2 linked regions of the Drosophila melanogaster genome follow. The protein of the gene in region 1 purifies or fractionates together with the protein of each later gene. This does not show direct contact. Each region holds a gene or a part of one and is shown on either strand. Other genes may lie near its edges. The genes, in order: Grip91 and Grip75.

What was found.
Region 2: the proteins of Grip91 (region 1) and Grip75 fractionate together in Drosophila melanogaster (co-fractionation; 2 studies listed by BioGRID). This does not show direct contact.

What each region holds. Positions count from the first base shown.
Region 1 is NC_004354.4:13,743,059-13,746,991, reverse strand, and holds the start of Grip91 (Gamma-tubulin ring protein 91), read left to right. Parts: upstream 1-2,308; 5' UTR 2,309-2,593; coding exon 2,594-2,708; intron 2,709-3,257; coding exon 3,258-3,933. Other genes in the region: Pdcd4 (programmed cell death 4), read left to right, coding at 144-216.
Region 2 is NT_033779.5:10,481,355-10,485,287, reverse strand, and holds the start of Grip75 (Grip75), read right to left. Parts: upstream 1,994-3,933; 5' UTR 1,931-1,993; coding exon 1,862-1,930; intron 1,805-1,861; coding exon 1,660-1,804; intron 1,602-1,659; coding exon 1,316-1,601; intron 1,255-1,315; coding exon 1,095-1,254; intron 1,035-1,094; coding exon 528-1,034; intron 464-527; coding exon 91-463; intron 35-90; coding exon 1-34. Other genes in the region: RluA-2 (RluA pseudouridine synthase 2), read right to left, coding at 2,369-2,443, 2,502-2,663, 2,714-3,003, 3,055-3,245, 3,305-3,525, 3,579-3,666, 3,718-3,933. UniProt on the Drosophila melanogaster protein: Gamma-tubulin complex is necessary for microtubule nucleation at the centrosome.

The sequences.
Region 1 (3,933 bases):
AAAAAAAACATTGTTTAACAATAGCAAATGTGTATCAGGCTAAAATGATGATTTGTTTACCGAACTTCAAGGGCCATTATATTTACTACTACTCGAATTGTGTTACCGATTTCTGATCAATTTTCCCCGTTTTATATTTGCAGCGGACGCAAGCGTTTCGTTTCGGAGGGCGACGGCGGCCACGTGAAGCCGACTACCTTCACCATGCGTGATTAAATCATAGGGACAACGGGGACGTTATATGCTGCACATGCTTATATGACCACTGCCCCCAGCCACCCAATGACAACTAGAGGAGCAACAAGAGAGAAGCAAACATTAAACAAAAACAAAAAAAAAAACACCAAATTACAAAAAAAAAAAACGAAAATTCATACGAACGCAAAGAATAAATACACCATTTATAAGAAACAAAAGACGATATGAAGAATTTGTCGCAAACTTGATAAAAAGAACTTATCCTCAGAATCCAGATAAGGACACAAACGAAAAACAAAAACAAGCAAAAAAAAAAAACCACAAAAAAACAAACAATCAATCGGAATTTGATCTCCGTTTAAACTATATTCATTATTATACTACATAAACACCTACAACGTATATCTTACCTACATGTAACTACCAGCGTAATTCGAAAGTATATTTTAAATATTTGTTAAAAAAGGAGATATGAGTGAAACGATCACAAAAAAAAGAAAAAGAAAGAAGAATCCAGCCAAAAGTATGCGGGGAACCACGAGCAGGAGCAACAGGAACAGAGATGGGTCGCTTTTTGTGGCTAGGATCTCACATAAAGGATGCGAGTGGGCGTACTTAGCACGACCGTCATTATGCCACATGAAATCAAAGCATATTATTTACATGAAACTGTTATAGGCACTCGTACACACACACTCACACACACCTCTTGGGTTGATTGAATTGATTGAATAACTTGTATTTGGAACGAACCAATGATGATGATTTATGCTATCAACGCAATCAAAACTCTGATGATTACACAAAACAAATTCCATTGACTTGAAATTGAGAAAAACATTTATAATATTCCTATGCGCATCGAAAACATGATTTTCCTTAATTTTTTTGTAACTTTGTGTGTCAGAAGACTAACATAATTAAGCTTAATTTTACTTTATACGTATATTTACCCACGGATTCATCTTATTCTGCTTGCTTTTTTTTTTTTTTGATTGAATAAAAGCTGCATTTTATATGATAAGAAAAAGACTTTGTTTTCGCCGCACTTATATTTTAAAATGTTCACACTTCATGAAGAAACAAAATTCGACATATTCTTAAAAATGCGCGCCCACACATCTATATATATTTAATATATATATCTACATATATATATATATAAACTAATGTGTTAAAAGCAGAAAATATACATCAAAAATAAAAATTAAAAACATATTTTAATGCGTTTTCAATGGGCAAATTCGTTTATTTAGTTGGAAATAATTTAGGATCGGGCCAACATTTATTTTGCTTTTTTTTCGTTACAGAAATCTCCGGATATTAAATGCAATTACGTATAGAAGTGAGTAAGGTAAACCGGATGAGAGTTTAACTATGTTCTAAATTAAATACCGGAGGTTTCTGTTTCAATACACATTATATACATTATATATTATTTCACATATTATTTCGCGTTCAAATCTGGTGGCGAAGAATCCTTCTTGGTCACCGGTTCACTCGGTGGTTCCAGCTTGATTTCTGGGGCTCAGGATTAGCCCACATATTGCTAGGTAGTTGGGTTGGCTGCTCCAGGTACTGCTCCACCGCATCCAGCTGCTGATGGCCCATTGCGACGAAGGAAAGTCCTTGTCCATTGGAATTCCAAGACATCCTTGCAGCACCTTAAGCTTTAACTCCCCCAGCAGTAGGTATCAAACACGACTTGTAGCCAATTACAGCCGTTGGTGTGCTCCATGGCGAAACGCAGTTGGTCAGTCTCATCTATGTCTTCAGCCTTTATATTAAATATTAACAATTTTAAAGTTTACCATTTTTGCTTACAAGCAATTGCAAATGCAAAACGGACAGTGTGACCAGGCGAGTGAGAGTTGGAAACGTTTGCGGCCCCAGAGCTGTCAGATGTTTGCAATGGAATTAACATAAAAGCTGAAAGCTGCACTTCTAAACATAACTGTTATACAAAAATGCTACATTCAGTAACATTCCGACAGAAATACATTTTTATAGTAAAATGTAGAACGATAATCAAAATGGCATAGCCTATTGCAGACGAGCGCTGCCAGATCGCTGCACCTTCGGCCAGTGTGTGCCCGCCAGCGGCTAGGACTTTGCCTTGTCAAGTTTCCCAGATTCGGTAACACTGCACTAAATAATTTTAATAAATTATTTGTATGAAGTACGCGCCAATTGGATGCGTTTTTGTCCTATCTGTCGAAGATTTCACGCATCCCGAACAATTGCCAGTGACTGCACGCCGTATTATAGCCAGGGAACAGCTGTGCGTTTGCCATTGGCCAACAGTTGTTGTCCACTTCGCAATTACCAAGCCATCCAAAATCGGCTGTTTAACGCGCGCTTGATTGGATATTTATGAACAATTCAGTGCACCAGGATGTCGCAGGACAGGATCGCCGGCATCGATGTGGCAACCAATTCCACTGATATATCGAATATCATTAACGAGATGATCATCTGCATCAAGGGCAAGCAGATGCCCGAAGTTCACGGTGAGATTTGGGAATGTGCAATCACTCACTGGCTGTCCAGGCACGCAAGGCATACGGACTGCTCTGGCATTCCGGGAAGAAGGCCTCCACCCTTGGGAATCGACCACGTGCTTCAGGATTATAGTTAATCCCAGAAACTCAACATATTTCATGGCATTTTCAAACAGAGAGTCCTTGAGATATGCAACTAACAATACATATACTTATATTTTTATAGTTCTAGATTAAATGTAGCAATAACCATTGCCAAAGTGTGTTGCATAGTCGTAAATGTTCAAAATTAATGTATATATCCCACAAACAATTCAAAGTATTCAAAGATATTTATCCGAAAGTAGATAGTTTTGAATTGTTTTTAAATGACTATTGATCACATATACTTAACTATAAAAGTATGAGCAAGTTTCTTAGATCCTCAAGGTCCTCAATACGTACAATTTCCAAATCAATGAATCTAAGGATACGTAATGCAACACATACACTAGACACTATACATAATTGTAGGCTTCATTGCCCTTGTTTTAATGCACTTTGTTCAATCTTTTGCAGAAAAAGCAATGGATCATTTAAGCAAAATGATTGCCGCCAATAGTCGGGTCATTCGGGACTCAAATATGTTGACTGAGCGCGAATGTGTCCAGAAGATAATGAAACTGCTGAGCGCCCGGAATAAGAAGGAGGAGGGCAAAACTGTGTCGGATCACTTCAATGAGCTGTACAGGAAACTCACGTTGACCAAGTGCGATCCGCACATGAGGCACTCGCTAATGACCCATCTACTTACGATGACCGACAATTCGGATGCCGAAAAGGCAGTTGCCAGCGAAGATCCACGTACTCAGTGCGATAATCTCACTCAGATTCTGGTCAGTCGTCTTAACTCAATAAGTTCCTCCATAGCCAGTCTGAATGAGATGGGAGTGGTCAACGGAAATGGAGTAGGAGCAGCAGCGGTAACAGGAGCAGCAGCGGTAACAGGAGCAGCAGCGGTAACAGGAGCAGCAGCGGTAACAGGAGCAGCAGCAAGCCACAGTTATGATGCCACACAGTCCAGCATCGGATTGAGAAAACAGTCCTTGCCCAACTACCTGGATGCAACAAAGATGTTGCCCGAGTCTCGACATGATATAGTGATGAGTGCCATTTACTCCTTCACCGGCGTTCAAGGGAAGTATTTGAAGAAGGATGTGGTAACGGGCCGTTTCAAGCTGGATCAGCAGAACAT
Region 2 (3,933 bases), on another chromosome or scaffold:
CTCTTGATCACATTCATCAAAATTCCAAATTGACCTGTAACAAAATGTGAGTTATTTTCGATCAATTTCGTATTGCGCTCAAAAACTCACTTTCCAGCACATCAACTTGAATGTAATACTGCATGTTGTTCAGAAAGAACATTAGATAGTTGCGAAGAGTTATGATTTTGTTATTTGGAGGCACATCCTTTGCACTCTTCGCCCTCCAAGTCTGCTTGGCCCAGACCCTTTGTATTTCGTATTGATATGTTCGAATGATCAGTAAAAATCGGAATATATTGTTGTACCGCTCGATCGTTGTTGGGGAGAACAAAAGATTCAATGGCCACTCATACTCATATTTTAGACTGAGGCCTTGCAGAAAATTAAAGTCGGAGGTATCGTCTGGTTCAGACGTGCTTCTCTGGCAGATCAGTGAAAACTTGTCCAAGTCATCTGTGATTCCCGTGACAGTAGCTGCCAGCTGAGTATGAGTTAAAAATGTAAATCTAAAATACATATTTAACAACATTATGCGTAATTAGTACCTCAAATGATCTAGTGACGTTTTTAAAACGTTCTTCGCGATAAGTTTCCATGGTACCGACCATTTGGGAGCAGAACTCCAAGTAGAACTCTCCTCTGCCTAGCAAAAAGAAGTCCTTAATCAGTCCCATTTGCCGCTCCAGATCCACTTCGTTCACAGCGATCTCCGACAGCCGGGCGCTAACGTAATTCTTGATATCGATAATAACCTTCTCGAGGCGAAACACATTGATGGTGTCCTCGTTGCTCAAATCAACGACCATTTTGAAGAACTCGGACTCCCTGCCGCTCCACAGCTGATAGATATCATCTGAATCCAATTCAGCCAGTTTTGCCGCCAGTGGGTCGGTTTTGTTTTTAACTTTTACGTTGCGCCCCATTTTGAAGACCAGCACTGTTTGTCCCACGAACAGAACTTTTTCGGCTAAAACGATGGAGAAAAATCCTGGCAGCTGAGACATATTCACCTCATATTGCCATATGTAATCCTCGGGGTTTTTCTCTGCGCTCTGGATATAGATATGCTATTTATAATATAGGGTAAGGATAATCGCTTGTTAAGTTGTTACCAGAAGTGAGCAAGTGGCTGATTTGCTGAATGAGCTACCATCAACTGCATCCGTTGGGGTAAACTTAATAAAGAATTCCGAGTGGACATCGTCAATCACTCCAAACAACAGCCAGTGAGCCAGGCTGGAGAAAAATGCGTTCTTAACAGGCTTCATAATTCTGCATAATGAAGAGCATTTGGATTATGGAAACAAGGCGTTGTGTGTTGGCTATCACTTGCATCTTGATTGCTTTTTCCAGTTGAATATCGCCGTGCTCGCACTGCTGATGTAGATTGTGGAGCAAGACGCATCCTCGCAGATTCAGCACATGGATCTCTGTGATGAGATTACGCATGAAGACCAGAAGGGGGAACTTGGCGTACAGGGCATTGTAGACATATGAGAGCGAATTGCGCTCGTTACCCAAACAATACTTCTCCAGACGTCCGATCTCAGCGTAGTACTCCTCCAGAGCCATTTCAATGCCCTTGGCCAAATTGAGCAAGTAGTAACCATGCAAACTATCTGCGATAGAAATACACATTTGAAATCTTAAAAACACTATGCAACCTTCCATTTATACCTGGAAGTTCGCCATGTGTGTCGGACTTTCTTCCCGATGAATGGGTAAACTGCTCAACTTCTTGGTAAACCTTAATGATTTTTATAATGTCCATAAATATCTCCCGCTCGCAAGGATGTATGAACTGGTCAATGACTGTGGTTTCCTAGAAAGTTCGCTTGTAAGGCTTTCGAAATTATTTATTTCCAACGATTTTACTTACATTGAATGCCTTTATACCCAGCTGCTCCGGATTGTGGCTCCGGCAAGCCAATAACAAATCGTGTATCATTGTTTTGCTGCTTTAATTCGGTATTTGTATTTCATTTGCGCCAGATGTCCGACAGAGATGACACATATCCTGCCCCGTCCGTTATCGATAAGAACCAACTAATCGATAGAATTAGGGGCATTCCCTTCCCGCCAACTGATTGTGGTTTTAAATTTTAAAAATTCGCAGAACTGCAGTTAACTGAAACCACTGTGAGCAGAGTGTTCAGGTGAAGTTCTTGCAAAGTATTATCCAGGATAGTTGGCATCCTAGGACATCCACTGCACGACGATAAATAATACTCCACGAGGACATCCCCTTGCACCGCAAAATGATAAAGTAATTCGGCAAAGTAATAAAACAATGCTACAAATGAAGATAAAATGGAAACACAATTTGTTAAACTCTGTAAAAATATTTCTTTTTACTAAAGCGTCGTGTTTGCAATCAATTTTTCCTTTATACTTTATCGTAATCAATATTCGAATTACACGCCCATTCCGGCAATTCGGTTTCGTACTCCCAACCAACGCCCTGAAAATAAGATTTAATTTGAAATTAAATCTTTAAAAATGTATAGTTTGAAACTGACCTTGTATTTCCATGCATGCAAGTACATTATGAGATCCTTTGTGCCGGGGTCTCTGTAGTTTATCTTGCATTCAGAACATTGCGGATCCGAAGTTGTCTTCTTGGAATCAAAGGACCTGTCTGGTTCCTCATAGCACGTTTGGGTGGCAATCTGTGCAGTAGCCTATAAGCATTGTGTTCTCCAGACTTGTACAACTATTTTAAGTTACTTACATCGTTACTTGGTTCAAGGTTTTTTGAAATCACAGGCTTTTCAGTTTCACTATTAATAGGAGCCTGAACTACTGAGGGAGCCTCTACTACTGAAGTACTTGCTGCTACGTCTTTTATTTCCCCTGATACGATTTGATCTCCTTCCAAGCCCAACCAGTTTTCTGCATTATGAATGCTAATTAGGTTACTGATCAACTGTTCCTCGGTTATTCCACCGATATCTCCTCCTCTTCCTTTCAATGGACCGAAAACTTCATGGTTGTACAAAGGATCATTTGAAATGGGATAGCCTGTGAAATACGAGTGTTATAATTGAATGGAATTATCTGGTTGTCACTTACCCAAGAATTGTAAATGCACTCGTATTTGGTGCATTCGTCCTGTTAGTGGTTTGCACAAAACAATACTATCACTGCCCACCTCGCCGATTCTTTTAAATGTGGTCTTACAGTCCTTGCCCTTCGGTGAAACCTTACAAACACCTATTTTGTAGCTCACGACGTCGATTTTCTCATTGCATTCAACTATGCCACTACGAAAGATATGAAAAATAAGCAGATATATAAAAGATTAGATGCATTTTGGACTTACTCTGGAAAGCGTCCTTCAACGCGGCAAACGTATTCCTTTTGCACTTGGCGAGTTCGGATTTGCAGCTCCAATTCGCGGGCTTTTTCAGCAGTCCGTCCAAACAAAAGTAGGCCAGATGTGAGACGATCCAATCTGTGAATGGTTCGCAGGTTCTTCAGATTGTGCTCCTTGGCCAGGATGAAAACTACCGTGTTGTGTCTATATCTTCCACAAGGATGTACCTACAACATACGATTGTTATTAAATCAAATTCCTTCCAAATTAGTATACCTACCGGTATCGATGCCGGCTTATTCACAACCACAATATCCTTGTCCATGTACACAATCTTGATGGGCTGTGAAGTAACAGGGACTTCGTGTCTAGAATGCAAATGTGTGCATATTCAAATGAGATTTCCTGCTGATGCTTACCTATGCACCACATTGGCCAGCAGATCATTGTGCTTGATTTTATAGTCCTTGGGCACTTTCTCAGAGTTAACAGTCAATTTTCCCGCTTCCAGGCTGCGTTCATATTCCTCCGGCGGTGCGGCTCGAAATTCGCGGACAAATACATCCAGAATTTTCTCATCAACCCAACGTCCTTTGGCGAACGTGGTGAATGTGAAAAAATAAGGATACACCTTC